4 linked regions of the Arabidopsis thaliana genome follow. The protein of the gene in region 4 interacts with the protein of the main gene of each other region in a biochemical or structural test. Each region holds a gene or a part of one and is shown on either strand. Other genes may lie near its edges.

Evidence for each region.
Region 1: of the proteins of MPK2 (region 4) and LBD19, one has a biochemical effect on the other in vitro, tested with the Arabidopsis thaliana proteins (one large-scale study listed by BioGRID).
Region 2: of the proteins of MPK2 (region 4) and MYB113, one has a biochemical effect on the other in vitro, tested with the Arabidopsis thaliana proteins (one large-scale study listed by BioGRID).
Region 3: of the proteins of MPK2 (region 4) and NF-YA10, one has a biochemical effect on the other in vitro, tested with the Arabidopsis thaliana proteins (one large-scale study listed by BioGRID).

Annotation. Positions count from the first base shown.
Region 1 is NC_003071.7:18,709,100-18,716,830, reverse strand, and holds LBD19 (LOB domain-containing protein 19), read left to right. Parts: upstream 1-3,619; 5' UTR 3,620-3,722; coding exon 3,723-4,028; intron 4,029-4,112; coding exon 4,113-4,382; 3' UTR 4,383-4,611; downstream 4,612-7,731. Other genes in the region: AT2G45406 (Galactose oxidase/kelch repeat superfamily protein), read left to right, coding at 5,493-5,870; AT2G45405 (uncharacterized protein), read right to left, coding at 6,114-6,314; AT2G45403 (uncharacterized protein), read right to left, coding at 6,678-6,884, 6,957-7,079, 7,160-7,294.
Region 2 is NC_003070.9:24,751,885-24,759,546, reverse strand, and holds MYB113 (myb domain protein 113), read right to left. Parts: upstream 5,959-7,662; 5' UTR 5,914-5,958; coding exon 5,793-5,913; intron 5,652-5,792; coding exon 5,522-5,651; intron 5,433-5,521; coding exon 4,943-5,432; 3' UTR 4,786-4,942; downstream 1-4,785. Other genes in the region: MYB114 (myb domain protein 114), read right to left, coding at 1,057-1,225, 1,297-1,426, 2,014-2,134; AT1G66360 (Calcium-dependent lipid-binding (CaLB domain) family protein), read right to left, coding at 6,940-7,257, 7,391-7,486. UniProt on the Arabidopsis thaliana protein: Transcription activator, when associated with BHLH002/EGL3/MYC146, BHLH012/MYC1, or BHLH042/TT8.
Region 3 is NC_003076.8:1,981,048-1,989,851, reverse strand, and holds NF-YA10 (nuclear factor Y, subunit A10), read right to left. Parts: upstream 5,030-8,804; 5' UTR 4,792-5,029; intron 4,751-4,791; exon of another isoform or gene 4,443-4,750; 5' UTR 4,414-4,442; coding exon 4,221-4,413; exon of another isoform or gene 4,095-4,220; coding exon of another isoform or gene 4,049-4,094; coding exon 3,957-4,048; exon of another isoform or gene 3,862-3,956; coding exon 3,655-3,861; intron 3,579-3,654; coding exon 3,261-3,578; 3' UTR 2,788-3,260; downstream 1-2,787. Other genes in the region: AT5G06520 (SWAP (Suppressor-of-White-APricot)/surp domain-containing protein), read left to right, coding at 480-2,396, 2,480-2,602; AGL96 (AGAMOUS-like 96), read right to left, coding at 6,680-7,408.
Region 4 is NC_003070.9:21,879,727-21,888,247, forward strand, and holds MPK2 (mitogen-activated protein kinase homolog 2), read left to right. Parts: upstream 1-4,291; 5' UTR 4,292-4,481; intron 4,482-4,783; 5' UTR 4,784-4,794; coding exon 4,795-5,217; intron 5,218-5,309; coding exon 5,310-6,017; 3' UTR 6,018-6,325; downstream 6,326-8,521. Other genes in the region: AT1G59550 (UBX domain-containing protein), read right to left, coding at 1-324, 399-537, 680-1,062; ZCF61 (E3 Ubiquitin ligase family protein), read left to right, coding at 2,015-2,088, 2,181-2,224, 2,308-2,432, 2,513-2,608, 2,685-2,825, 2,914-2,979, 3,055-3,167, 3,254-3,385 and 3 more; ZCF37, read left to right, coding at 8,134-8,521.

The sequences.
Region 1 (7,731 bases), on a different chromosome or scaffold from region 4:
CAGTCAAACCCTAAATCTAACATTCTCGTCGAATTTGGTAAGGAATATATATAAGGATTGTATAAATTGATCTGTCTTACAAATTAATAGACGTAATTTAAAAATTATATATACACACATGCGTTGTTTAACCATATATTCAAATTGGGGGTTGATCCTATCATCCTACGACCCTATTATTCCTTTGAACTCTAAAATCCACTGGTCAATATCTACTAAAAAATATTATTAGAAAATTATACGGTGTCGCCTAAAAACAAGGCACAGCGATTGATTTAAGAGTTCAAGTGGAAGCTGATGATACAACTATACTACTAATCTTTTATTAAATATGCTTAATGTTTTCACAAATGTACGTAGCAATACAATCTAGTTAGGGTAACTTCACCTGGTTGGTCATTTATTCATAGCAACTACAACCTGTTTTTTCTTTTTCTTGGTAATATATCATCTGTAGGATTTATCGAAAAAAATCATATGTATCGGACAATATGGGTTACAATGAAACTTTTGATCAAAACATGTAGCGTTTTAGAATAAGTCATCAGGAACTGAAAACCTATAGCTAAGTTGAATATCTATTCGGAATAAATTGTTAAAGTTTCCATGGTTACACGTTAAGTAATTAAGGCCCAACGACTTAATCGATAAGTGGTTTGTCTCCCTATTGCATAAACTGACAAATGATTCCTTAAAAGTAGAAATGTTGCCTTGAATTAAATAGCTATTTGAAATTTTGTAAGTATATGTTTAACTAAACTATAAATTATATAAACACAATCCCAAAATTCTTGTAGCTTGTTTATGTAACCACAAACACAAAAACACACGCACACGCACACATATGAGTTCATTTTAAGTCCAATTGATGGAAAATGGCTAACTGGCAAGAAATCTTTTTTTTTCAATTTTTTTTGTCAAACACTAGCAAGAAATCAAGCATATGGAATTCATTACTTATTTTCTTAAAATTATAAAAGAAAACTTATGTTGTTTGATATAATAATTGGCCCCTTGTCGGATAATTTTCAGACAGTGGTTGCATTTCAGGCGTAAGGCAGTTTCGATCTATAGTTCTGGTCGCAAGTTCAAATTCGACAATATTTTGGTCAAATCACAAAATTCCTCATTATTTATTTCGACGTACATCATCAGAATGTATGGGCCTTTATAATGATAATGTAGAAAAATAGAAGTATGACGATGTACAACAGAAAGATTTGAAGAGATCATTTAAGTAAATTGTACTAATGATCAATATAAAATGTATATAGTGTGTAATATAATTGTTTTAAGAAAGAAGGAAATTTCTGCAAGTTCAAAATAAGAAACTTTGGGGCGTTAAACTAAAACATTTGAGAGTTAAGGGGCTTAAGGCTAATAGAGTAAGGGGAGATTCACGGATTAGTAGACAAGGAACCGAACGGCGCGATTCTCTTCTCCAACGCTCTCATTTCCTACTTACTCTCAATTAAGTTTATGAATATATTATGGATGCTGAATATTTTAAAAATATTTTTTACATTGAATTTAATATCTGAGAATCCTCAAACCTAATTAGATAAAAACAATGTCTTAAATCCAAGCAGAAGAAGAATAGTTGAGCATCGGATCACTTAACTATACATAGAAAACCTCAAACCACATTAGTAAGGTATATTTTAGATCAATATAAGGTAGTTCTATGTTTAGTTTGGGGCCACAAGTTCGACTATCATAATTCTCTCTCTATGTATACATATATCCGGTTAACTTATAGTCCATCCTTGAACATTTTCTAAAATCATTCGGTTAACGATAATTATTTTGGATTTCTGTTTTAAACCTGTCACAATGTATCTTTCACAATAAATTAATACATATAAATTTTAACTAAAAGAACTTTGGAATGATGTATTTTTTTTTTGTCTGGTTGGTAAAAATTCGTAGATAATTAGACTACTGATCATATTACGAGTAACCAAACCAATCAGATTCTAGTAATCTACGAAACATGTATAAATATATATTCAGTGCAATACAAATGTTAGACCATAGATGCAATAAAAGGGCTTGTTATAGGTTCACTATTAGAGAAGGGATGGTGAGGTAAGTGACTGGAATGCTTAGGTCCATGACTCCATGGGACAGTGAAGTCATAGAGGATGTAAGTCATACCACGTGTCTAGATCTTACGACGTGGCTTGTTTTGTGTATTGATCAACGTACTAGCGGTTGCTCCATCGATCTCAACCGTCGATTCTGTTGGCTTCTTTGACTGAAATTCTTTGAGAACAAAGATATTCCTCACTCTCGGAATTCAAGCGCGTGGTTTCAGTATTTTCTTGTACATTTTTTTAAAATGGTTGACAGAAATGGATTATAATTGAACAGTATTTCTTGATTGTTTTTTGTTAGGTGACTTTGGTTTATTTCAAAATTTGTTTTCCTAGGATTTAAAACCCTCATATACGTGTATGTAGAACCGGTTTATAGCTAGGTTTTGCTGATTTATTGAGCTATTTGTTACATACTAAAACATTATTACAATAATTTTAACAAAACCTTACTGCAATTTTAAATTATTCTTTGAAAAGATTTTTTATTTTACTTTTTTTGTTATAATCCGAAACTAAAACTAATTTACATAGTATAAATAAATAGAAACACTAAAAAGAGAAGACTGGATCGAGAGTGATTTATGTCGGGTGGAACAGAAACAAAAAGGAAGAAGAGGCAATAAAGAAGGTCAATAGATTGGATTTTCAAATCTCTCTGCACGTATACTAATCACTTTGACCGTGATTGTGACCGTGATTGTGATAGTGGAGAACGGAGAAGATAGATATTATTAAGCTGTCTTGTGTCACTTACTTACAAATGCTATAACTTATTGATACTTACATGGTTTTTGTGTTTGTGTGTGTTTCAGTGTCAATTATGCACCCGCTACGTACGTTTGTCGCAGTCCGGTTTAAACCAAACCCTCGTGATGATATGCTGTTATATATAGGGTTATGGTCTGAATCAGACATTTCATGATCTCTCCTTCCTACATTTTAAATGTCTATGAGTTCATGTGGGGATATCTATACACATATGACTTAATTCATATGCTGATATGCACTTATATAAACGTAAAGAAAGAGAGTGAGTGTGACAAGAGATGTGATAGCATGAAAAGAAATGTGCATGGGGAGGGGCCGCTAGGGCTAGAATACATGTACGTGATCTTTGAAAAAAATGCAAAGGGGTTCAGGGTTATGTGCATTTTGAGTTATTTAAATCGATCACACATGGTATGTGCATTTTGATATCGATCTTGATCATTGCGAATATATCTTTATAACATATATATTTCAGCTAATATACAATCTTGTGAATAATTGTCTTTCCTAGGCTTTGTATCGGTTTAATTTCCACACTAAATATATAGAACATGTTAGCAGAAGATCATTTATAACATCGAATTTTGGAACCCATATTAATTGTTCATACGAATTATATACATGAGTAGTATTCACGTAAAGCCCAATACATAAAAAAGATAGTATGAAATTAATAAATAAGCGGCCGATCAGTCAATAGCATACAGAAACTTACATTGACAGTCAAAACCCAAACACTTTTCATTTATTATAAGTGTTGAAATTAGTTCACTGAGTTAGCCTGATGTAAATAAACAAACCTCCTCCTTCTCTCAATACATCTCTCCCTCTCTTGCTCTCTCTCTTTACTTGAAGATGATGACCGGAAACTTGAACGGCGGTGGAAGAGGAGGAGAAGGACCATGCGGGGCTTGCAAGTTCTTGAGAAGAAAGTGTGTGAAAGGGTGCGTTTTCGCTCCTTATTTCGATGCAGAGCAAGGAACTGCGAGATTTGCAGCAGTTCACAAAGTATTTGGGGCCAGCAATGCCTCTAAGATGTTACTGAGATTGCCTCTGCACAAGAGACTTGATGCAGTCGTCACGCTCTGTTACGAGGCCATGGCAAGGATTCGTGATCCTGTCTATGGCTCTGTTGGCCATCTCTTCTCTCTTCAACACCAGGTTCTTCATCAAAACATCTTTTATAACACAACTGATTATATATACAGAGCAACTAATTAACAAGCAAGACTGTGTATACCTTAGGTGATGAATCTACAAGCAGAGCTTGCTCATGTTCAAGCTCGTCTTTCAACAATTCAGCGGTTTCCTCTACAGTCGCCACAACAAATGCAGCCACCGTCTTTTGATCCTGCGCATAACAATGAATATGCGATGGAACCGAGTAACTTGGATAGTGTGTGGGGGGAAGAACATTTACTTCAAGATGGAACTGGAGATGGGGATTTCCAAGAACTGGCGTCGCAGTTCGTCTCAAGGTATTTACCGGCGGTCAAACTTCCGGCTTGCACTTAGGTCAAACTACAAGTCAAGAATTTATGTATTATAGCAATGGAGAGTAGAAGCGAGGGAGGTGTCTCTGTTCCCAATAGTTGACCATTCCGCTTAAGATCATCTTAAGAGATATATAGCTAATTATGTATCAATGTATGCATGTTAAGAGTTAAAATTGGTTCTTGCATGAAGTGTTTCTTTGACAAAACAACAGATCATTGTAACAGAGCAAACTCGTTTTAAGAATTCAGTTACTGCAGATCCACCAGATAGGTATGCAAGATGGACAATGAAATGCTTATCGAGTAGGGAATATGTACTATGTTTCTTCCCGTGCACGGTATAATGAAACTAAGGAAGAATCATAAAAAGGTAATGCAGAAACACAACTTGTTTTAGGGGAATTCGCCAAGAGATTAGAAACAGAGTCTCAGAAGAGAGAAAGTTCACTAAAAACGAAGAGATTGAAAGTAACATGTCAATCTTTCTTATGAAATAACAGCAAACGCCATAAGCTCACTATGATAACAACTTCAATCCTAGATTAAAGGTATCAGTAGTCTCCATCGTCACATACTCACATATTTTTTGGATTCATCTAGAGGATATAAAAATATTTCGTAAAGTTTTCCAAAACGTTGATAAAGAAGGTTTTCATAATTACTTGTAAAAAAAATAAAAACATTTACAATATAACTCTTTGATTAATTTTACGGTAAAAGCCCTCATAAACCCTAAATTAAACCTCCCATCCCAAGGCACGAACACAATGACGACCGAAGAAGATATGAGGTCATCATCGAAGTCTCCGAAGTCGTTTTTGTCTTTACCCAACGACGTTGTTCTTAACTGTCTGTCTCGTGTCTCGAGAACTCATGATCCAATTCTATCTCTCGTATCCAAGAGTTTCCGATCACTCGTCGCTTCGCCGGATCTCGAAGCCGCACGATTCCGCTTCCTAAATACGGAGAGGTGCCTCTATGTCTGCTTAAAACTTAATAACAACCATAACCCTAGCTGGTTCATACTTTCCGAAACTCCCAAACATAAACTGATACCACTTCCTTCGTTTCCTTACCCACATCCCAATTGCTCAACTGTTGTCTTGTCTCTACTGGTTCAGAGATTTACATGCTTGGCGGATTCGACGCAAAGGGAAAGAGTAGCAGGAGAGCTTATGTTCTCGATTGTAAATTTCATCAATGGCGTCGACTCCCTAAAATGCTTATAGCTCGAAAAGGTGCAGCCGCTAATGTAATTGACGGTAAGATCTATGTGTACGTAGGATTCAGCAGCGTTTACAATAACGGCGTAAACGGGGGAGAGATTTACGACCCAAAGACTCAAACTTGGGAGCCATTTCCGCAAGGAGAAGAAGATTTCTCCAATAAAGAGGGTGTGACTCGATGTGCTTTTTGTTGGATTATTGAGAGAAAGAAGAAAAACAGAGTAAGAGAGACATATCTCTTCTCTTGTGAAGAAGACAAGAACAAAACTTTGTTTTATTGAAACTGAAACTTGTTAATCTTTACATGACGATACAAGGTGTTTATATAGAAAACAAATAGACACAACAACTCAATTAGTTCTGTCACTTCATACTTGTGTCTCTTTCTACTTGTGCCTCTTGAGTGAAACAACACAAACTTACAACCTTTAACTGAAAACTCAATTACCGACCAACACTCCCCCTTAATTGAGTTTCGGTCTTGCACTTAGCTTCCTTCTCAGTTTGTCACAAGTTGACCTTGTTTACTTCTTCTTCCCTTGCAAGTAAATCATTTGTGTTTTCTCCATCTCAATGGAAAAACTCTTATGCTTGATCTTAATATCCTGTATACTTCTTCCTTGAGGATAATTGATGAGACATCTGACACTAGAAACACCTCTTTGATGATCTTCTCTCCTTGGCTTGTCATCACTTGGATATTTCCCTTTTCCATGTCTCATCATTCATGATGATGATATTTCTTCAACTTGAGGTTCTTCACCACGTGCCTTGGCTTGTTACACACAAAGCACCTTCTTGTTGCAACTCGTATTTGACGTTGCACACTTTTGAGATTTCTCTTTCCCACAACGCTTCTCGTTTGTCACCTTCAAATTTTTTTTTTTTTCACGTGAGCTTTGTCACGTCATCTCCGGTTGTTCTCACAACCTTTTTTTCCACTCACTTTCTTTTAAATGAGATTACTTCTGATTTCCTTTTGGTGTCCTCTTGATCACCAAATCTGTGCGTGAACTCCTCCACGTCTTCTTCGGTGTCTTCTTTTGATCACCATAACGTCTCCATGACGTCTTGTGCGTGAATCTTCTTCACGTCGTCTTTGGTTTACTCTTCAACCGACTTATGCTCCATTTTTCTCCGAGGTAAGCATCCTCTTGTGCTCCATTTTTCTCCGAGGTAAGCATCCTCTTATGGTGTCCTCTTTTGATCACCACCACGTCTTTTCGACGTCTTGTGCGTGAAAATCTCTTCACGTCTTCGTCGGCTACCTTTGCAACCGAACTGAACTCTGCTCCCTCTCTCTTAGGTAAGCAGCTTCACACACGTAAGCAAGCTAACATCCCTGTGTTGCTTTCTCCAACAATCACCTCAATGTGATCGTCACACGTACAAATGTCACACCATTTCTTGGCCTTCTTTTGACTTTTGTCGCCCCGTTTGTTTCTTCCTTTTGAAGCAAACTTTTCTCCACGTTTTCGTGTTGTAGTCATCTTCACAACTCAACACAACGTTTTGATAATAAGCCTTGCTCTGTTTGTTACAACAGCGGCTTTGCCGTCTTGCGCTTCACCAAGACGTTGTTGAACAAATTTTCAAAACTCTCCTTCCACAACTCCAAATCCACATTCGTTTTCTCCATTGCCTCTAGAGAAGATTTCCTATCTTCTTCATCGCTTTTGGAGCCTTCCTCTTGAAGGTACTTCATGTGAATGTGTTTGTGAAAACTGATGGTACTCTCTGTAGTTACCACCTCTTATTTCTTCTTCTTCCCTCTTCTTCTTCCTCTTCATCTCACCATAGATTTGTTGTCTCCATCTCTCTTTTTCTTTTCGCAGCAGAACACATCTTATTTTTGTAGAGACAACCAAGGACAACCATCGGCTCTGATACCATGTTGGTTTATTGAGAGAAAGAAGAAAAACAGAGTAAGAGAGACATATCTCTTCTCTTGTGAAGAAGACAAGAACAAAACTTTGTTTTATTGAAACTGAAACTTGTTAATCTTTACATGACGATACAAGGTGTTTATATAGAAAACAAATAGACACAACAACTCAATTAGTTCTGTCACTTCATACTTGTGTCTCTTTCTACTTGTGCCTCTTGAGTGAAACAACACAAACTTACAACCTTTAACTGAAA
Region 2 (7,662 bases), 2.9 Mb from region 4:
GAAAGAAAAAAAAAATTAAACAATTTTTCTAACTAGACCTTGTTTAGACTCCTATAAATTGCTCTAGACATGTTAGGTCCCTACAGAACACCTAATTACATTCTAACAATTTTTTGAACATTGGATCCAACACGAAATCAAAGTAAGCCAGAATTGAATGTACTCGATTATTATATTTTGCATATACGGCGTTGAACATATTGGAATTTGATAGATCTTTTAAACAATTTGTAACACATGTGTAAGTGTGTGACCTTTCAATATAAAACACCAATATATCAATCACTCTATCAGAAGTCCATTTCCGTTCTCCGGTTGGCCCATAGCAAAACACTATGCACGTACAAGAATCTATTATTATATAGCGCATACTTACAAAATCTAATGTCTCTGTAGTTACTAATATATGATACAAGTTCAACGGTTGCTGTTAAGAAAATTAGGCATGTATATTGCCAAAAAGATATATACATTGTACAACACCATTGGTCCAAAACTTATGAAGTAATGAAAATCCAAAATTCCAAATGCAAATAATCTCAAATAAAAATCTAAAATTCCAAAATATATATATTCTTATTTTTTTATTTTTTACAAAATGTAAACTCACACAGAAACGGAAACATAAGGTTTGCCTAAAATACTATAAGATATTAGTTAATTTAGAAAATAGATACTAAATTAAATAGAGAAACCTCACAAACAAGAGAACACAAACGTTTATAAACACTAATCAAAGATCACAGTCTCTCCATCGAACAAATTCCAAAGTTGCTCAACGTCAAACGCCAAAGTGCCCTCCTTTTCTGTTGCCGCCGCTTCTGTAACCAGCACATCTACCTCTTGGCCCTCGTCTAGCAAACGCTCCAACCATATATTATCTCCAACCATAAAATTATCCACAAAATCATCTTTCTCATCATCTTTGTTACATGTGATACTATTTTCACAAACATTATCGTTGTCGAGTCCAAGGCATGGAGGAATTACACCAACTTCAGACTGTCCATCGAGATGGTTGCAGCCGGTTTTTATAGAGAAGAATCGAGGCCGAGGCTAAAAAATATCGACTTTTTGGGCCGGTGTATTAGGAGGGGTTATAATATTTATCCTTTTTATCTTAGTTTTACAACACGGTTCATGCTTCTTACTCAGATGGGTGTTCCAGTAGTTCTTGACATCATTAGCGGTCCGACCAGGTAATCGACCAGCAATCAAGGACCACCTACGTATACATACGAGTTACTAGTATTAGACTTATTGCTCGTTAAATAAGTAGAATAAAGTAAATTATACCTATTTCCTAGAAGCTTATGAAGACGAAGAAGAAGATCAACTTCATCAGAACTAAATTTTCCTCTCTTGATACTTGGCTTCAAATAGTTTAACCATCTTAGTCTACAACTTTTCCTGCACCGATTTAGCCCTACAAAACCAATAATTGACATTAGTTAAACCTAAGAAGATTGCTGTCTCTTTCTATAATTTTATCATAAAGAATCTATGCACACCAATAGAAACAATGTACTATACACACATACGCACGTGTTCGTATAAAAACTTTCACTAAATTCATTTATGAATTAGAAGACAAACCAATCGTAGAATTAAACGACTTTTCGGAAGTTCGCATTTTGTTTTTAGAATATGTAACGTAGATAAACATAGAACATTTTAAAAAAAAAAAAAAAAAAAAATCTTCCTCTAAGTTCAACATTAAAGTTTCCAATAGTTGGTCGGTATATTGAATACCGGATCAAAATCTAACGAGTCTGTATATTATTTCATCGTTCACTCCGATATATTCCGGAACAACTTCGGACCAACCCCGGTCTATATATGTTAATACGTAATGAACAGTAAATGCATACCAAAATATTACTATTTAACATATCAAAATGTTGGTCTGATCATTAGTCTAATATAGAGCATACAACACAACCAGTCAAAGTCTAAGTATGATTTTATGAACAGTGTAAAGAAATTTTCATGATTATGTGTTTAGATACATACCAGCTCTTAAAGGAACTTGATGCCATTTGCCTTCTCCATACTTACCAATACACTGCCTCAAGAGACTATCTTCTTCAGCAGTCCATGCACCTTTCCTCAACCCTTTGGACGAACCCTCCATGGACCAAAGATAGATATCTAAGCAAACTATAAGAAAAGGATTGAGATAGGTATATATTGTGACTTCAGAGATCCTTGGAGGAGTAGAGAGTGTGAGTATCTGAGCGGAAATATATACACACGTGACGGGCTTAGGAAAGTGACGTGCATGTGTAATATCCACATTTCTGTTTTACATGTCGTGCTTTATTTGCTAAGTTATTGTTTGGTTTCTGATTTGACTAGAGAAATGGTTCATAGACACCTAACTTGTCTCTTCATCCTTTTTCTGTACTTCAAAACATGCAAAAATGAAAAAATAGGAGAATTGATGGCAGATGGTCTATATATATGAGGAGGCTATTTTTCTCTTGTTTTTCTTTCATTTACAGATTATTGGAGTGTTTTTATCCACTGCAGATCTCACAAACTTTGAATTCTTAACACTAATGTACATATTCATCAAGTGATTTTTTTTTTTCCATTTAGCAGAATTGAACTTCCCCACTCTAGCCTTCATCTTTTGATCGCTTTACCCTTAATTCATCTTCATCTTATTAGTGTATACTGTTTGTTTAGTATAAAAGTATTTCTTTGTAACACATCTCCTCAGAAACCTCAAGGGGGACTAAGAATATATTATATCAATATTTTCTTGTTATAAATAATTGAAGGACCAAAAAATAATAAAATAATAATAATAATTGAAGAATTTATGTCACAAAAATATTTCATGAAATTTTTTTATCTAGTAAAAAAATATCTAGTACATAACTCTTGACCCACATAACGGTCAAAATTCAGGCTTCCTACAACATACATATTTCATGAAGATTTCTACAATATCTAAAAAGGTAACCCAAGACCTGATCACAAAATATTCAACAAGTCATAGTGTGTAGCAGGTATGATATAACATAAAAACTAATTTGATTTATTCCAGATACCTCTAAAATAATATATTCTAGATTATGATTAAAATATATAATTTGATTTTGGTGAAACAAGTATGATATAACATAAAAACTAAGACAGAATATCCTTTAACAAAAACTAAAATAATATTAATTCTTTTTTGTTAGCGCAAAACACACCAATTATGTAATTTTATGATATAGGATAGCACTGGTGATGATTAGCTGATATTTTGTAGAATATTTTTGAAGGAAATAGTAAGAATTTTTTTAACTTTTCAAGTGAAACCAACGTGTATGCTCATCGTCCACAAACAATTTTCCACATGAGACATAATTTCATAAAAGCTATAAGGTGTGAAGTCATTTCTTTCAAGATTTTCCAGAACAAAAATAATCATACACTGTAAGGAAAATTTCCTTTTGAAGTGATAGATATTTATCATACATTTTTAGAATTTTATATTTTCTTTTCAACCGACGTCATAGTAATTAATACCAGATGAACGAGACTAGTATGGATTTGGGAGAATTTCAAGGAATAAACTTCACTTTACTGACACAAAGTTTTATAGATTTTCTGAAGAATAATTTACTTGGAAGTTTCACGTTTAAGTTTTTTCTCAAAGAATGCTAAATTTATGAATCTTTTAGAAAAATCTGACTTACACACTTGTATGTGTGTAACCTTTAATAAGAAAACACTATTCAATCACAAGTTCCTTTCCGATCCTCCGGTGGTTATGTTTGCCAAAACCCATGTGTTAAATTGATATATAATAGAATATAATAATAATAGATCTGATTGATAACATAAATTAGTTGAAACTGTAAGTTATTTTGAAACAATGTAAAACTGTAAAAAATAGTTATACGAAAAAGTTGTACAATAAAACTAAAAATAAAAAATATTATAATGATTTTGATAAAAAAAATTGTGAATGATAAATATCGAAAATATACAAAAAAAATATATCGTTTTGATAGTAGTTTATCATTCAAAGCTAATAAAAACAACGATAATGGTAAGTTTTAAGAATTTTTGTTTTTTTCCAATGCATGTTTAGTGTATACTATGCAACCGACATGGATCCAAAGGACATCAACATTATTTGCGTTAGAAAACTGTTGTTGTTTTCTTTTAAGAGGAAAAGTCAAAACCAATTGATATAATAAATATATTGATCCATATGATATCACTCAAAGTTCTTTCTTGATTTTAATGTGCGAGATAGCTCACATGTCTCCTTAAAATAATCAATGACCCTTCTAATTATTAATTTCGACAAAATCTCATCATAATTAAAATTGATTTCGGTTTAGATCAATCGGACCAATTTTGAGTCTGCTTAATTTCAGATCGGATTGAATGGACCCACTTTGAGGCATGCATCCATTTGTTCGAGTTGGAGGAACGTGTGTCTCCATCGGAGAAGAAGAAGAATTGTTTTTCTTTCTTTCTTTTTTTAGTTTTTTTTTCTTACTTTTTTCTCTTTTAGTTTATTGCAGCTTACTCTGATCCTAATTATCTAGGTCAATTTAAAACGTAGTATTGTAGATAAAAAAAAATTACGATTCATGTAGTTTTTTTGGAGAATTGAACTTTCTGACGTTGGTTTAGAAAAGACCATAAATTTGTAAATAAAAAGCAAAAAAAAACATAAGTAGAAACATCCCTTTCTTCACTCTCATCGCATCACCTCATACAACACAATATAAGTAGAAACGACTCTCATATTATCTCCTAATGAACCATTAGACGTTATCTTCTCGGGTTTGAATTCGTGTTAAGTTATATTGTAACAAATGCTGCCACCTTTGATATGAATTTAATAATACAATTTTTAAAAATTGCAATATAAAAAACATCCACAGAAACATAAATACACACGTGCAAACAAAAATGGGGAGCAACACTAATTCAGTTCTAAAGTCTCTTCATCAAACCGAGCCCAAATTTGCTCAAAGTCAAGCGGTAAGGTCACACCCTTTGCTGTTTCCGTAGCTTCTGGACCCAACACATCTGCCTCCAGTAAACTTTCCCACCACATATTATCTCCATCCAATAGATTAATATTAATAAGCTTATCTTTTTGCTCATCTTTGTTACATGTAATACTACTTTCACAAACATAATTGTTGTTGAGTCCAAGATGTAAAGGAACAACGTCAACTTTTGGCAAGATATTGACATCGTTGCAACTATTTTTATCGGAGAAGGATCGAGGCCGAGGCTTTAAAACATCGATTTTTTGGGCCGATGAAGTAGGATGAGAAGTAATGTTTTTGTTTATCATCTTCGTCTTACAGCATCGTTCATCGTGCTTCTTACTCAAATGAGTGTTCCAGTAATTCTTGACATCATTAGCAGTCCGACCAGGCAATCTACCAGCGATCAAGGACCACCTAAACATTGTGAAACAATATACATGAGAGTTTCTAGTATTGAACCGCGATCCCTAAAGAAATAGTATTGACTATCGAGAAAACAATACCTATTTCCTAGAAGTTTATGAAGGCGAAGAACAAGATCAACTTCATCGGAGCAGAGTTTTCCTCTCTTAATACTTGGCTTCAAATAATTCAACCATCTAAGTCTACAACTCTTTCGGCACCGATTGAGACCTATAAAACCAAAAGTCGAATTTACTATACCTACTTAGATTTCTTTTGTACCTCCTTTATCTTTATCATGAAGAATATATGCACACCAATCGATATAAATAGTATTTTCATGAACCACCTTAAAAAGCATGAAACAAATACCAGTTCTTAAAGGAACTCGATGCCATTTGCCTTCTCCATACTTATCAATGCATTGCCTCAAGAGAATATCTTCTTCAGTAGTCCATGTACCTTTTCTCAACCCTTTGGGTGATTCGCCCATGGAGCAAAGATAATAGAAAATTATCTCACAAATTTTATAAAATTTATATATATGGCATGTGTGAAGCCTTCACAAATTATTGGAGGTTTTATATAGAGAGTGCAGTGACTGCCATATTTTATATCCACGTTTAATTCATGCTGAATTTGCTAAAAATTAGTTTGTTTTGCTATTGTTTAGACAAGAGAAATGGTTCACTGCACTTAGCAGCCAGACTCTTCGTTCTTTTTAATTACGTATAATAATAACAATGTCAATAAATCTGTTTTGTACTTCTACATGGTTGTCTTTCTATTGCAACATTTCTTCAAAATATTACAAAAAAAAGAAACTAAAGTTAAAAAGTTATAATAATGTTTTGTTAAAAAGTTATGTATGTTCAACTAAAGTTATATATTTTCATTTTCTGGTTATTTTTGATTACTAAAATATGTTTAAATAAAATTGCAACAGATTAATTGAACTGTTATAACATTTGATCTATATGGACGAATCATTGCAACTTTTGATTTTGTTTTATGAGCCGTTGTAATTTTTTTTATTTAATAAACTTTTAATTATCTACTGTTGCGTATTTCGGTATAACTTTTTATATAATTTAGAAATATTTATTTATTTAAATAAAGTTGTAATCGTTATTCGACGAATCATTGTAATATTTGATTTTATTTTATAGACCCATGTAATTCTTAGTTTATTTTGACTGAGCATTGTAACTTTTATAATATTTAATATATACGACCTCATCACTCTGTATAAATTGTTATATAACTAATTTTTAAAACTAAAATATATATTTAAATAAATTATTGCAACCGGTTTATTGAATCAATGCAACATTTAGTTCTTAAGTTAAGTAATTATGTGCATTCTTAATGTGAATTAGTCCTTGTGGTTCTACTCTTAATTGCTTCATCGATAAGATCGCTAGTGCATTAAGATTATTAATTGAGTAAATCACTACATCAGTTTGTGTTATTGTTTTCGCCGTATCATCACAGGAATTTCTTGTAGTATAGAGTCGATCTAGAAAGCAACATCCTCCGCATCATCAGTCAAGGCGCCGGAGACATCGATCCACTCAAGCTGCAGCTCTATCTCCCCTCGTTCAACATTCTGAAGCTTAAGGAACATGTTCTGGACAATCTTTCCTTTGTGCCATACAATCTTGCTCTCTTCTGACAAGCAGTTTTGTCTGCTTGCCTGTATCTTCATTATTACAGTCCCCTCAGGTAGTCCTCCTAGTTGGTTTTGGATTCTGATGGCTTCAAGGAACGGATCAATGTGAAAAATCGCATCTCCCATCTTATCATCCCTTGAGAACCTGTCCCTATCGTACACCATCTGTTTATAACAAAAAAAAAACACCAATTTTTCTTGTTAAGTCTTGTTTCAAACTTCCAAATATAAAGAATCCATATTGTGGTCTAATCTAATGTATCGTGTTTGATTTGGTTGTAATGTCGAAATCACTTACGATCTTGACAGGAAGAGTTGGATCAGTAACAGAAAGTGTCAAGTCTTCGTTCCATTCTGTATTCAAATTCTTTTTCATCACACGGGTTCGTAGCTTCTGCGTCCAGAAAGAGTCATAACATAACCATATAAGATAAATAGATTATACACAAATAAGAAATGCACGAACAAATCAAAAACTTGTTGAAAATGCTTTTCATTTTTAGCTACTTTTTTTTTTGTAGAAATCAATTCCTAGGAATTTCTCATTAGCCGGTAATTTAACTTTGACAG
Region 3 (8,804 bases), on a different chromosome or scaffold from region 4:
TTTGTAATTGTAGTTCGAATCTAAAATTGGTTAAAGTTTATTAACAAGAAGAACCTTGTGGCTGGATCTGATCTTCTTAAATTCCAATCCAATTATTCTTAGTATAGCTGTTCCGGTTTTAGTTCTGACTTCCGAGTAACTGGGGTTGTTGTGATTGATTAAATCGTAGAAATTATAATAAAATTATTTATTATGAACCGCAATTATAAGCCCAATCAAGGCCCATTAGAAAACCACCAAAGGAGTTTGGTTATAAATAGTGGTAGCCTAGGGGCTAGGGCTCACAGTTGATTTCTTCTTCGTCGCTTCCTTCGTTTCCAAGCTTTAGGTCTCCAAGTCACAGGCTGAGGTACGGTGTTTCTAATCTCTCTCCGATTCCTCTTATATGTTTTTCCTAATCTCTCTCTCTCTCTCACTCAGTAGTTGTCCCTTCTCTCTGAATCTGATTTTTAATGTTTCTCTGGTTGTAGAAAAAAAATATGTACACTTCGATGCACAAGGATTTGCGATCGAGGCAAAACAATTCAAATCAAGTTGGGGCGGATTCAGAAAGCACGCGTCTTGTTAATATAAGGAACTTGGCCAAAATTGTGAATGATTCAAGATTCAGGAGCTTAAGTCCTGACACTCCAGCTACTCATGATGCACAAGACTATCTTTGGCCTCCATCCTTGGATATGCCTCTGCTGGCTCCACCTGTCAACTTCTCACACCTTCCTCTAGGGATCACTTTCACGCGAAAGGAGCTTGAGCTTATCAAGCTCACAGCGCAGTTTGTGGCTGTTTATGGGAAGTATTTTCAGAGGGAACTGACGACGAGAGTTGTTGAGAGTCCTCTGTTTGAGTTTTTGAAACCAACTGACAGTAGGAACAGTTTTTACACGCGGATTATTCTCGGGTATCAGGGTGTGTTAATGCCTTCCCAAAAGCTGAAGACGAAGAGTGAAGTTTTTGATGGTTTCTCCAAGCTTATTGCTCAAGTGCCTGTAAAGGATGAGGATGACGTGGAGATGGCTATGACTGATTTGCATGCTTATGAATACTTTGCTAACATGTCCATTAATGATTTACGAGCTCCGGCTCCTGTCAAGTTTGCATTCCTTACTAGAGGGGTAACGTTCACGCGCAATGAGCTTGATACTATTAAGCTCACAGCACAGTTTGTGGCAGTTTATGGGACCCTTTTTCGGACAGAATTGATGAAGAGAGTGTTTATAAGCCCTAAATTTGACTTTTTTAAGTCAACTGATAGCAAGTGCTCTTTTTACTTGCGGCTTGTTGATGGGTATTCGAGAGTGTTAAGGCGTTCCAGAAAGAATGGTGCTGGTTTGGGGGAAGTTGTTGTTGGTTTTCTCAAGCTTCTTGATCAAGTTGTTGAAAAGAAAGATGCAGTGGAGATGGCTTTGACTGATTTGCATGCTTTAGAGTTTTTTGCTAACGTGGACGGTGGCGTGTTGCAACCACGACCTGAACAATACCATCCAATGATGCCAACAGTACCACCGCTAATTATGCCTCAACTGGGATCTCAGTTTACTCAACTTCAAGTTCCTCAACCTTCATGTTCTCCTCCAGTGAGGATGATGTCACCTCCTAGGCCACAGAATGATTTGCAATCGGGTCAAAGCAATTCAAATAAAGCTCCTGCGAGTGTGGCACCTATTGAGCCACCTCCAGAAATCAGAAGTTGTGTCGAGAACACTGCACTTATTGTTTCCAAAAATGGGTTGGAGATTGAAAGAAAGATGATGGAACTTAGTATGAATGATGCAAGACACAGATTTGTGTGGAGCACTGACCCTTATCACGCATTTTATCAGCTCAAGCTTGCAGAATACCGTGCTCAGAATCAAGATAGAGCTCACGATATCCAACCTAATGTTCTGAGATCTTTCGGTTTTGGATTTGAATTCCCTGAAAAGGAGATCACACTCAAGGAGCTTGGTATTATTAAGCTCACAGCACAGTTTATGGCGCGGTACGGGATGAATTTTGTGCAGGGTTTGAGGAAGAGAGTGGTTGGGAACCCTCAGTTTAAGTTTTTGGAGTCAACTAATAATAGCAGGTTCAGTTTTTACAATGGGCTTGTTATTGCGTATTCAAGGGTTTTAATGCCTTCCAAAATGCTGAGCAAGAGTGATGATTGTACGGCGACCGTTGTTGATGGTTTTCTCAGTTGTCTTCAATTGGAAAAGCGAGAGGAGGGAGTGGATATTGATATGATTGATTTGCTTGACTGTTTTGCTCGTTTGGAGGATGCAGACTATTCTGCTAACGTCCCACAACCTCAACACCTTTCAACACAAATGCAACCACCACATACGCCTGAAACGTCTCCTCCACTACCACTGCCTCTAAAAAACGAGTCATCACCTGTTCTTGCTGATCAACATCCGGTAATTGTTTAATGTTCTGATTCTTAGAGTCTTTTGTTTCTCAACTTGACTTGTATCTAATCATGGCAGTCATACATTTTCAGGATTCCTCTACCATCGATGATGAATGGCAAGTCATTGACTTCACAGGGCAGTCGTTACCGGACAACGTGGCAAGTTTGAAGGATAAAACAGCTGGGGGGATCCAAATTCCAGCAAACAAATAGAAGAGAAACAGAAGGTGCATGGTGGGAGAATGCAGGGAAATGGTTTTCAAACTTCTCTTTAATACTAATCTTTAAATTGACTTTAAGTTTGTTCTGGATTGGCAGCTAGTTCTGAGGCAAGTTTTTGTCTCTCTAATCTTAAACATCTGTTTAATATGTGCTTTAGCTCTTTTTTTTTATTGAAGTTTGGCTTTTACTTTGTTACATAAACCACAAGCTTCTTCTTACACAGTATCAGGATGAGAATAGACAATGGAAATAAAGTCTTTTAACTTTGTTACATAAAAACCACATTAACTTGAAAGTCTTACGTTTGTTTCATAAACACGTTACACACAATACATCATCTGGAAATAAGGCAGAGTTTCTTACAACACACACTAGTTGAAACATGATGCTAGGAAATGTTATTCACTAGTTCAGAGATCTTATGAAGATGCGTAGAAGAAAACAGACGAAGATAAGAACTTGATGAAGCATGAGCCAAAGATGATTTGCCTGTTTACAGCCAAACGGATGGTAAAAGGACCAATCTTATAAACCAAGGAAACTCAATGTCTTTTTTCCAAGACACAAGTTCTCTTTCCGTTTGGCTGAAAGATAAGGGACAAGACAAAAGACTGGTGAACCAAATCATGTCTTGTCCCCTATCTGCTGATCATATATTAAGTTTGCAGCAGCCAATATCCATTGCTGCTGCATTCCACTTGATAGGCATGACCATGCCACCAGGAGAATAAGCCGACGAACTTAGAAAGTAATCCATACTTGTAACTGCAGAATCCGAGAGATTTGACTCATTTGCTTCCCTCGATGAGTTTATGGTCTCATTTTCCGGATGAAAGACTTCAGAACTCTGAGAATTACTCGGCTTAGACTGCTTAGCCGCATCAGCTGTCTTGGTGTTCAAGAAACGCCCGCCAGATCCTCTAGGACGGCGCATAGCATGGAGATGGCGTGAGTGATGCATATATGGCTGAAACATCATAACATAAGGCAACATTTTTTGAATGCATAACTGAAAAAATGATCAGATAGTTTCAATAAGTTACCTTACGGCATCTACTCAGTTTTTCAGCCTTTGCTCGGGACTGGCGTCGCCTGATAATTCCATGGTACTGCTTTGAGTTCACATAGATGGTACCATCTTCTTCTGTCTCCATCTTCAGTGGAATCATTACTCGGCCCGAAGACCTCTGAGATCCGTATGCTGAAACAACTCCATAGTATTGTTCAACATGAGGATGCTTTGTGTACATCTACAATGAAAACAAAACACAGCAAATACTCAAGAAAACAATTAAAGGGAAATGAAAGTTTTTCTTTGTGATGTTCCACTGCAAGAGAACTCTACCATTGGCTGAGCAAATCCAAACTCGAAGCAAGCTGATTGCATCGCGAAAGCAACATGAGGCTTTGGCACATCTCTTGAACTCTTTTCACCACCTAAATCAATGACAGCATAAATAAAATCACCTTCAAACATTTGCATTCACTCTGTAATGTGCAAGAAACAGAGAGGTAATGTCTTCTTTCAAGGCTAATTGATACCCACTTAGAGAATTCAGTAAGAACAATCCGAAAGCTCCCATTACATATGAAAGTTGAGAGAGTTTACCAGGTGAGAAAGTGAAGAGAGTTGTAGAAGTTTGTTTATCCACCACACCTTGTTCTGCCTCCGTAGTAACTGCCTTAACTCCGGTGAATGAATCAGAAGCTTCGCCGGAAAGGCTCTCTGTAGTCAACGGCTGAGATCCAAAAGCATTCCACCAAGGAGTCTGTGGTGGCGACAAAAGCTCCTCAGTTTGCATAGCTTATGTTCCAAAAGTCCAATGGAAAACTGAAAGAGAGCCACAAAATATCTGTTGAACAAGCTAAAAAAAAAAGTCAACAACTAAAAGACTTCTCTTAGTTGTGTAAAAACTCTTAACAAGGAAAGAATTTTTAGACTTTAGTTTTAAAAGCAAAGCACACGAACCCATCTCAAGTTCACAGTCAAGAAACAGACTTTGTTGTCTAAAGAAAGAAAATTTGGGAGAAACTATAAAAGTAGACCCAAAAATCAAATCGTCAAACGAAACATTAATGTGAAAAATGCTAGACAAGATCCACAATAGATACTCGAGGACACAATAAAGAGAAGAAGAATCCAAAATGGAGTAAAGAAAACATAAGTAGAAGAAACTTACACAAGAGAGAGTGAGAAGCTTGAGATTCCTATTAGTTGGGAGCTATGTCGGTTCCAAATTAGAAACAAAGATCCGCAGAGAGAAGGAGAGAGAAAGAGATGAGTGAACAAGTGTAATGGAAACAACAATAGCTTCATCAACCAATCACCTTCAACTTTCATGCGAGTATTTTTTGTTTTATAATATTTATTAGAAAATGTTTTCTTTAGTAGTAGTAGGTGACATAAAAATAAAAGAGACAGAATTATTGCTCTAGTTAACTGTAGCGTTGGCTTGACGTGCTCTCTCCACAAGCTGCAATGATCCCACTTCATTCATAATCATCTCCATCAAGTAACAGTACTACTAGTACTGCTTTGTCGTCAAGTTTGTTTTTTGTTCCCTTCTGATTAAATTTGAGTGTTCACCGATGTTTCTTTAGCCAAACAATATATTTTACTCTGTTATGAGTATGGCTTCTACCGTTTGAATACTCTGATTGGTTGACAACATTCTGAGAAAAAAGTTGAAACACAAAAAAAAAAAAAAAAAAACTCCTTTCAGATGGACCGACATAATAAGCTCATTAATGAAGGCCCATTTTAAGCCCTATTTTTCTACAACAACTATGCTACTACTAGTGCTAGTGCCTCTGAGCCATATTTGAATCGGCCCATCATAGCTACATACCCAACTCAATTGGGTAGTTACTTAGGTCGGATTAAATCGGCCCATCAAATGAACCTCATTTCAACACTCATCAATTTGAGGAAAATATCCTATATATGATATCATTCCTTCTAAATTTAACATAAGTATTCTTTGACACTTATCCTAACTTTATCATCTGCCCTTTTGAGAAAATAACCTGATGAGCTGTCAAAGAAAATAAAATGATATCTTTCCTTTTATTTCTTAAAAAATACACCAAGATTTCTTTTCTTTTACTTCTTAAATACAGTAATTAAGATATTTCCTTTTAATTATTTTTATGATATGTATATTGGTTTATATAGAAAACTAGATATGCATGCCCCATAAATTCTTATTCCTACATTTGGGTCATGCATTCCTTTTATGATATCATAACATTTCATTATTTAGAGATAGTCAAACTTATTACTTTAATTGATAATAAAGAGAGGTCAAACAAAGAAAATAATAAGTAAATATATTCATTAGCTTCTAAAGTTTAAACATTTTTCACATTAAAGTTTCTTATTTTTGAATGCAATTGAATTAAGGTGCATGAGCCAAGCGACTTAGTCGTTAAAATGAGAATAATTTCTCTTGCAAACAACTTGCAATTTTGGGGGTTGAATGGGTAATAATACAATAAAAACACTAACACAAATTAATAGGATACAAGTCCATAGTAATTAAAATAATTTGTTATAGGAGAACAAATGAATTGATTATATTAAGGAAAATATAAGTGTTGACCATAAATAGATAATAAAACGTAGCATATAGATGTTTCATTTTAAGTTTCAAAATGCGTCCAAAAATGAACAAAACTATGTACGATGCATGAGAATGATAATATCTCTAATAATTTACGTGCATAGCATGACAATGATTATCTTATTAAAATACGATGCTCTAGAAAAATTAGGAAAAGTTAAAAAAAAATGCCCTAACATTTTGCACAAATTTGTTAAATACGGATGAGTTCTTCAAAACTGCAAAGAATAGTAAAGAAACAAACATTCGATTAAAATTAAGTTGACATGACAAGCAAATACAAGAGTTTAACACATAACAAGAGACATGATAAAAACTTGACCAAAACATAGAAAAACTAGAGATACGAAACGAGCAAGAAAAACAACAATAATAGAAAAAGAACAACATTAATTATTTCAAGAAAACTTCAAGACAAGTTGTCATGTCAACTTTGACGGCAGCTTCATTCGGCATCGTCTTCAGCACCACCGGCCATGCTGCTCTCTCCTTTATAGGTCCCCAAGTCTTCATCAGATGGTTCCATGTTTAGGTCTAAGCCACTGACCATTGTGGGTAAATGAGTCTCAACATCACAAGGGTTTTGGACTTGTGGATCAACGAAGACCCATTTATCAACATAATAGAAACTTCTTCCAGTTTCCATCATGTTTAACCCATTTCCACCTGACCCAGACGCAACATTCGAAGCCCTCAGGGCGTCGACCCCCGTAGAACCCATCCGTTTACTCAACCACATAAGTTTCTTATCCGCATATGGTATTAGTTTATCAGCCTCGGTTGGGGAGAGATCAGCAAGTTCACGACCATTTTGGACTTGGAACATGAGTTCGTCCATCTCAAACTCCGTGATAACCTTCCGAGTATCGGCTCGTTTCTTCTCAATCTTTTCGATAACGGTCTGGACGTATGACTCCGGATCAACGGCCTTCATGGTCCTTTCATGGTCGGTTAGAGAATAAAAGTTGTCGATGAGTGAATTAGCTGCCTCGGGAGATGGCCACGCCGTCAATTGTTCTTCTTCTCGATTGAAAACGACCACACTAGCGCGCATATCGCACAGAATGGACAGTTCATTCACTTTTTTGATAAGCCCCGTTAACCTCCTCTTGAGGCTTGCCCTCCTCATCCTATCGTCACGGATCCATGCAGCTCGTACTTTTTTCCGAGCCATGGCTAAGGATCACTTGGAATTGTTTTTTTCTTTGTGGTGTGAAAACTAAGCATCCTAGGTGTGGTCTTATATAAGAAAAGCCTAGGATAAGAGGTTGAACGGGGAGAATTTCCATGGTTGTAGTCTCCAATTGAGAAATGTTTGAATAGATTTTTTGGTAACTTAATTAGTGGGAAAATAGTATGTTTCTCCTCTATTCTACTAGGATTTAACCGCGGGGCAATATTTTTATTTTATGTATTTTATATAATAATTTATTGTAAAAGTGATATAGTACTAATTTTGGTAAACATTTATAATCGTGGACTAATATAATATTGTTTAAAGTTTAGGATTATAGAAATATATTTTTATATTTAATTTTAAGATTTTACGCGTGGTATATATTCCATAATATCAATCCAAACCGTTCTACCATATAACTCTATCATGTGAAATTAAACAGCATTTTTTTGTAATAATATTATTGTTTAAAAATTTCAATTTTACTGGAATGAATTTGGAATGAATTTTATGGAATAAATTTAGTCAGAAAATTTTGCAATTTTGTGAAAGCATTAATGATTGTCTTACCAAATATATAAAACAAATGAAGAATAGTAATGTGAGAGTGTTGCCAACGTTTTTGTTGTAATTGGGCTTATCTAATGACGAAAGTAGTGGATCTATATGTAAAAGTCCATATGGACCTGGAAAATAACAGTTTTAAGTATTTGTAAATCGTAGTTTGTTGGACTTCGAAAATATATAATACAGACACAAATCATTTAATGTCAAGAGAATTACAATAAATGCATAAGCCAAATGAATTTTTTGCCAAAATGTGTTAAAAATGTATATATATATATATATATATATATATATATTATCATATTTTCATGTAGCTTTTCATTTCGTTTTACAATATGTCAATTGTATTTTAAGTATCATCAACATTCAGCACTTTCTTTTCTTTAAGAATTTTCTGCTTTTTTTTTTTAATAGTAAGATAAAAAAAAAAATAGTAAGATATATATGTATATATATATATATAGATCTATTTGTATGTGAAAAAATGCTGTTGAGGGAAAAAAAAGAGAATACATGCATGCAGCTTTTCCTCTAAGTACGATACACAGACGATGCCATCGTGTTTGCTTGTTCCCTCAGCACTCGAGTGTACGTATAGTGTCCATGGAGACCTAGAAAAAAGATATTGATTAGGCTACATTTTTGTAAAAACATATAAAATAATCTTACAAATCCATCGTGATGATTTCAAATATTCGTATATTCTTAATTGTGTTAACGTATATATTTATAACATAGATAACAAAATAATTGAAAACTTTAGAATTTAGATATCATAATCAAGATGTTTGAAGAAATAGAGAACATGTGACATGTCTATTTTTTT
Region 4 (8,521 bases):
CTTGGAAGCACCAGGAATCGCCTGCACTAGCTTGAACGCCTTGTTATCTGATTCATCCATGTGAGAATAACAGAAAGACCAGAGAAGCTGAACCGGTTCACTCTTGAGAAACTTTCTCTGCTTTCTTCTCCCATTTGGAAATCGAACGCTGATACTACAGACAACGCTTCGATCACAGTCTCCTTTAGGCTCTTTTGTCAAAACTGGGAACTCAAACAGGTCGCTTGACAAACAAGTTTCCTCCTCATCTTCGGATAAAGTCACTACATCATCAAATTCTCGCCCGCAAGAAGAAACCACGACGCTATCTGATGACAAATTCCCCTTATGTATGAGATTTAAGTCTTTTCATCAGCTGCCTCATCAAAATCGTCAAAATCATCGTCCGTAAAACCAACCATGTCTTGTTGATCAGAGTGGCAAATCTTTTCTGCTTTTACGCGCATGTTCCTTGCCGTAGAAGCAATATGTTCGTGAGGACTAGCATCAATATACTTCTTCAAATCCTTAAGAAAACCCTTAGCTTTAATCTCGCCCCTCCATATACATATATTCTGGCCAGTAATCGGATCGATAAGGACTAAGGAGCAGCATAGGAGGAGCACAGTGTTGGATCATATAGAAGCTAGTGATTTTTCTTCCTTCACTGGTATGATCATAAACTTGCCATAACATAAACCTAAACTCAAGGGCTTGAGAAACGTCTTCGTTTGACCATAAATCTCGGTTAAATGTATTACAAGGAAACTCAGTTTCGGATTGGATATGAACAAGCAACCATAGATCTTTGCTAGAAGAAGCTAGTTTCGCGTCTTCGAACGAACCATTAAAAAGCAGATTTAGAGGAGGAGGAGGAGACAAGGAAGGCAATCTAGTAGAGTCGGAAGGTTTTAGTGTCAAAGTTTGATTATTTCTCATTCTGTCGATGGCAAATAAGAGATTGATGGCATCTTCAAGCTTCCAATTTGTAGACTTTAGACACTTTATAGCGGTTTCCACAGTTTGATCTACAGAGATATTGAGGAAAGCTGAGACCAGTGTTCTCTGATAGTTACTCTCCATTGTTTTGCCGTTCAAAGAGAAAGAGAGAACAAATTTGTATGAGTTTTAATCTTTTGTTTTGTACGTCTTTGCTTCTATTTCTTTGTTTATATAGAGAACTTGATAGTATTGTTTTTCTTCCTTTTTTCACTCCAATTTGGTTCGAGAAAAAATCGGAAATTTCCTTATCACTTTTTTGTTTTGTTTATAATAACTTTATCGTTTTTTACTTAAACTTTATCGGTCTATGCCTATAAAATAATTCAATGAACTTTTTTTTAAATCACGCTAAACTTTTTACAATTGGAATTTTTTTTAGTTACATATTGATAAATATTAGGATTCATCCCGCGGTACACGGCAAGCGTAGGTTTTTATTCGGTTTCCATATTATATTAGAATGTATTATTTGTTATTTAACAAAAAATATAAATTTTTATTGTTGTTGATTAAATATTAATTAGTAGAAGTAATTATTAATGGGGTTTTCTAAAAAATGTTAAATATGAGTATTATTTGTTTTAAATTTGTTAATTTGCAAAAAATCCTAGGATATATTAACTTGAATATCTTCTTGATTAAATTTGTGAAACATTCATTTTGATTAATTAATTTCTTTTCTTTTGATTAATTAGTTTTTTAAAAGGAAAAATGTTATTGAAAGAAATCTTAAAGTTAAATGACTTTCTCAAATCAATTACTATTGGTAGCAGAGGGGGAGAACCAATCAAGCCCTAATTCCTTTAGAAAACCCTTTTAACAATCAAAATAGTATTGGTCAAACAATATTTCTGCATTAATTAGTTTTTTCATATTTAGCAAAAAAGAATTAATTAAAAAATTCATCCCTATTCGACTTCACTTTCTCTCTCTGCCTGAAAATTTTGATCGGTTTCTGGTTTCTCGGCGAAAGAAGTAAAGTGGCCGACAAATAGTGATCTCGTGAAGGAATCAGTGTGTACAGTGGAAGAAGATGATACATTTGGCTGGATTTACATGTTGCTTAGGCGGCGTCGCTCTTTATCTTCTTACCAGGAGCACAGGCAGGTTAGGTTTTTTTTCTTGTCTTTACTATTTACGAATTACGATAACTAGGGTTTACTGTTATTCGGTGGTAATGTTCTTCTTTCGTGGGACAGAGATATCAAATCAATCACTAGGGTTTACCAACTCAAGGATTTGGGTAATGTTCCTGCATTGTTCTGCATTTCAATTTTAGGTGGATGGGTTTTGGTTATGTGTTTGATATCATTCGTTTTTATTCAGAACAATTAGTAGAAGTAGAGAGCAAGGTGGTACCTTTGATCATCGCAGTATCAGGAGATGTTGGCTCTGAGACTCCTATTAAGTGTGAGCATAGTTATGTTCTCGGTGTATTTCTCAAGAGAACGGTATGTATGAATTGGATTAGATAATCTAGTTTTTCGTTTCTGTGATTTTGGATATGTTAAAAAGAAACGATTTTTTTCAGGCAGAACAACAGGTTTTGAGACGTAATTGGAGATTTTCATGGGTTCGAAATAGTACATTGATGCAGCCGATGACTAAGGAAGTCCCCTGGTATCTGGTATGTCTGTTGGACTTTGATTGGAGTGTATTACTTTCTAAAGTCATTTACAAAATATGATATTGGTTGCCTATAGGACGACGGGACAGGTCGTGTGAATGTAGATGTATCTCAAGGTGAATTAGGCTTGGCGTTGACGGTTGGTAGTGATGTATTTGAAAAGGCAGAGCCGGTATCGCTTGTTCAAGGAGCGTTGGGTTATCTTAAAGGCTTTAAGGTCTTTTCTTTTCCTTTCCTACCACTTTTCATTGATTTGCTTTTGTTTTGACAATGCTTATACATTGTGGCACCATTGTTGTCTATAGATACTTGGAGTAAGACACGTTGAGCGTGTTGTCCCAATTGGTACACCGCTTACAGTTGTTGGTGAGGTATGTCTTTTATCTGTTAGCGGTCCAAAATACGTTTTATATCTCTCTTTGTTATGTTGCTTACCATGTTAACAGGCTGTTAGGGATGGCATGGGGAATGTCAGGATTCAAAAACCTGAGCAAGGACCTTTCTACGTCACTTATATACCGCTAGATCAGCTCATCTCTAAATTGGGAGATTTGTCAAGGTTGTTTCTTTTCTCTGTTTTTGCCTATTCTTTTCTTCGAAAACTATGATTGAAAAAAATTCTAAAAGATCTCTTTCTTTTGGCAGGAGGTTCAAGTATGCCTCCATGGGTTTAACTGTTCTTGGTGTGATTCTTATTTCAAAGCCTGTGATTGAATATATTCTAAAGAGAATTGAAGATACTCTAGAAAGAAGGCGGCGACAATTCGCACTGAAAAGGTATGACGCACCCTAACCACAGCCACGTATGAAGTATTCATTGCGAGTTGCGAGTTGCGAGTTAAGTGTTGGGTAACTTGTTGCAGAGTTGTTGATGCAGCTGCTAGGAGAGCCAAACCAGTAACTGGAGGTAGTAATAGTATCTATCCATTAGAGTTTGTACTTTGTAGTAGTAACATGTGAATCCTTTTTCTGCATACACTTGGAATTGCTCTGCTTACAAAAACGTCTTACCAGGTGGTACAAGCAGAGATGGTGATACACCTGATCTCTGTGTGGTTTGCCTTGACCAGAAGTATAACACCGCTTTTGTTGAGTAAGTATAAGACCGCTTTTCTTCTAAAAGCTCTTGAAAACCCTCTCACTGATCAAACATGGCATCTTTTGATTCCTCTTTTTGTTTGGTTTGGACTTGTAGGTGTGGTCATATGTGCTGCTGCACACCATGCTCCTTGCAACTAAGGACCTGTCCTCTTTGCCGGGAACGAATACAACAAGTTTTGAAAATTTACCGCCATTGAAGGACAAAACTCAGAACGATTTTTACAAGCGAACAATTACTAGTCTTGTACATATAGTAAAGCCTTTGTATCATGAGTTTTTGACTAGAAATTTTTTTGCATTGATAGATTGTGATTGAACAAATGCTAATATAAATTTCAAGCTTAGATTTACATTTACTAATGAAGTTATATAATCACGTTTCGATGTTAAAATAAGAAGTGAAAAAACGTGAACGGCAGGATTCGAACCTGCGCGGGCAAAGCCCACATGATTTCTAGTCATGCCCGATAACCACTCCGGCACGTCCACTTTTTGTTAATTCCTCACTATCTTAAATATCTAATTACCGTTAATTATTACAAATCAGGTTGGGCTTAATTAAGCCCAAAGTTAAAGACAGATTAGTGAAGGAGACAGAGAAAGAAACAGCTCTAAAATGGTAATGAACGAGAAACTAGAGAGTCAACGGTCATAGCGTTGACCAAATCTCTCACTCTCACCAGCCAAATCTCTCCAACTTCCTCTTTCTCTCCACCCAAATCTCGCCGGCGATCGTCACTGACGAATCTGATTCGTCCCCAACACTCAACGGGTAAGCTCTCTCTGCAAAATTCAGATCGTTCTAGCTCAATCTCAACATCGGATCAAGATTCAACTTTTGTTCTTTTCTCTTAAACAAAGCTTTTGATCATTAGTGAAATCTAAAATATTAACCTTTGAATCTGTAAACTTAAGCTTAGAGAACCCTAAGATCAAAACTAAAAATTTGATCTTTCATTGTCACTTGTTGGAAGCAATTCAAAATTCTGTGTTGTGTATATTTTCAAATTTGTGGATTGTTCCAATTTCGATAAAGTTTTGATTTTTATTCCTTTTGTTGTGTGTTTTTATAAGGAGGTAGAAGAATGGCGACTCCTGTTGATCCACCTAATGGAATTAGGAATCAAGGGAAGCATTACTTCTCAATGTGGCAAACACTTTTCGAGATCGATACCAAATACGTGCCTATCAAACCGATAGGCCGAGGCGCGTACGGTGTGGTTTGCTCTTCGGTTAACAGAGAGAGTAATGAGAGAGTGGCGATCAAGAAGATCCACAATGTGTTTGAGAATAGGATTGATGCGTTGAGGACTCTTAGGGAGCTCAAGCTTCTACGTCATCTTCGACATGAGAATGTGGTTGCTCTTAAAGATGTAATGATGGCTAATCATAAGAGAAGCTTTAAGGATGTTTATCTTGTTTATGAGCTTATGGATACTGATCTTCATCAGATTATTAAGTCTTCTCAAGTTCTAAGTAATGACCATTGCCAATACTTCTTGTTCCAGGTATGTGATTTGTTTGCATTTGCTTTTACCATTAGTGTGTGTTGTTTGCATTTGGTGTTTGCATTTACTTGCTTTTTATTTCTTTTGCATAGTTGCTTCGAGGGCTCAAGTATATTCATTCAGCAAACATTCTCCATCGGGATCTGAAACCCGGTAACCTCCTTGTGAATGCAAACTGCGACTTAAAGATATGTGACTTTGGGCTAGCGAGGACGAGCAACACCAAAGGTCAGTTCATGACTGAATATGTTGTGACTAGATGGTACCGAGCACCAGAGCTACTCCTCTGTTGTGACAACTATGGAACCTCCATTGATGTCTGGTCAGTCGGTTGCATATTCGCCGAGCTTCTTGGAAGAAAACCAGTATTCCCGGGAACAGAATGTCTAAACCAGATTAAACTCATCATTAACATTTTGGGTAGCCAGAGAGAGGAAGATCTCGAGTTTATAGATAACCCAAAAGCCAAAAGATACATAGAATCACTCCCTTACTCACCAGGGATATCATTCTCTCGTCTTTACCCGGGTGCAAATGTTTTAGCCATTGATCTGCTTCAGAAAATGCTCGTTCTTGACCCTTCGAAAAGGATTAGTGTCACGGAAGCGCTTCAACATCCTTACATGGCGCCTTTATATGACCCGAGTGCAAATCCTCCTGCTCAAGTTCCTATTGATCTCGATGTAGATGAAGACGAGGATTTGGGAGCAGAGATGATAAGAGAATTAATGTGGAAGGAAATGATTCATTATCATCCAGAAGCTGCTACCATAAACAACAATGAGGTCTCTGAGTTTTGAGATCAAGTCTTTTGCAGGTACTGTTCAGAGAGATCTTTCAACAACTTAAACTTATTTATTTTCATGTTTGCTTCTTGAAATGTTGTTAATAATAGTGTCGAAGAAGAAGAACAATAACTTTAAATTATGTGATATGTTTGTGTCATGGAGCTTTGTTTTGTTTTTGGTTACAAGCTTAAGTGTCTGTAACGTTTGTACATAAGTGTATGTGTCCTTAAAACTTCATACTCTGTCTCTGATCTTATTGTTGGTGATTTTTCTTATTGAAGATTTTCGAATGTTCAAAGAGCAAACCATTGGATTAAATATGATTTTGAAGATAAATGTATTAACACAAAGATATACACTGTTTAAAAAAATTCATGAAATAAAACATATGCATAGAATATCAAAATAAAATTATTTGGGAAATAATTTTCAATGATACATAGAATGTTCCATAGATTCGTAGAATTTTTATAAATGTGTTTTTGACTTTCATGTACCTAATTCTGAATTCAGACTTAGTATATTGTGACATTAATAGAAGTATTAATTGCTTTGTTTGATAAAAATATTTTGATGTCTATCACACACTTAAATTTAACTTAAATGATAGAAAAAATGTCAATAATTAGTAACATTTATGCTTTGGAAAAATATTTTGATGAACAGCGTGTGAATAAGAATCTTTTTTTACTTTTGTAAATGGAAAAATGTAGGACTGCACTAATTATTGAAACCATTGATGTGAAAAAAAAATCAAGAGCCAAAGAGATAAAGATTCTAGAAGACCAAGTCAAGTCTTCTCGTCGATTAATAGTCAATGAATGTTCCTCATCATCATCTCTTTGATTTATGCGTTTGATGTCATTGAGTCATTTCTATACCATTCCGCCAAAAATTCGTTTTAGTTATCCATATGAAATTGCGGTTGGACTATTAAGTCTATAATTTGATTAAACTAATAAGCATATGATGATGAAGCAGTTTATACTTGTAAATCCTCTATTTTATCCAAAACTTATGATCAAATGATAGAACTAGGATGCAATGTTCAATCTCCTTTGGAGGGACCAAAATCTGCCACAAGACACACCACTTGCTTGGTATTTAATTTTCCTTTTTATCTTTCCATCTTCTCCTTTAGGATACAGGGGATGTCTCATGAAATGATGTATAGTTTATAAAATTATCTCTAAAGTCTAAACACAGAGTGGCAAACCGAAAATATTATATAAAACACGTAGTATCGAGCAAAACAACACTTAATTGTGTCACATGTGACATGTGCATACATAATAATACAGAAAACTTAACTAATAAAGCCACCAACATTATGTGAACAATGGTATCAAGCTTTCGAGCTAAGTTAACGAACCTAACTCGTGATTAAATAATGATTATTACTAAATTCAGGGAAAACACTTTTATAAACAAAAATATAATTTGCAAAAATATTATAACTTGCTTTACCCGATGGTAATTTCTGTTTACAAACCTGTATATTTCTAAATGCCCTTCCTATAATACACACACATACACATCAAATTAGTTGCCATGCACACATCAAATAAATTGCCAAAAACATCAATATCTATACATTAAATCATAAATACTTGGAAAACTCCAACTAGCTTTTGGTTATAAAATTACTAAATATAGTTTAAAATAATACATCCGTCGTGGAAATTTATGAAAGATAGACTTCTTTTTTAGCTTATGCCCCAAGGAAGTCAATCAATAAGACCAACGTTATCAACATACGTGATCGATGATGTTCTTTTATTCCTGGAAACTTCTTATAATCACCCACACAAAAACAAAAAAAAAAACAAAATATTAAATACAAAATTCTGAGATCTTGACATTTTGACCAAGTTGTAACGCTTCATCATCTGATCCGGTCAAATTCTTAAATCCTTTTTCTATAGTATTACAATAAAGAAAATATTATTGTCGCGTGAAATCTTTTAAAATATTAATACAAATCACGTCTATTAATAACAAGGTCGTCACTCTTGTCTCCAAAACAAATCTTCATTAACCAAAACCAAAAAAAAAAACTTGAAACTCTCTGAATCTCACAAGAACATTGCAAGGTAAAGAAACCACAAGATCATCACTCGAAGTAAAAATGGTGAGCCCATTTAGATCTCCATGTTCTTCACCCAAAAAATCAAGAAAAGCAAGCAAGAACCCTTATTCAAATCGTGGACTTGATAAATTCTCTGAGCTTCTCTCCGAGCTAGACGAGAAGAGGCAAAGCATCTACTCGAAGAAGCTCGATTCCGGTGGCCCGCCTCTTGTTCGATTTGTGTTCACAAGCTCCGGTGAGTGTGTCCCCGTTGTGATCAGATCATCTTATCTTCACAAGAAGAACAAGAAGACGAAAGATGTTGTAGCTGATAAAGTCAAAACAGAAGTCAAGGAAGCAAAAACAGAGGAAATCAAGAACACAGAGCCTGAAACAGAGCAAAAACAGAGCTGTGTTATAAACGAGAATCTGAAGAAGATCGCTAGAC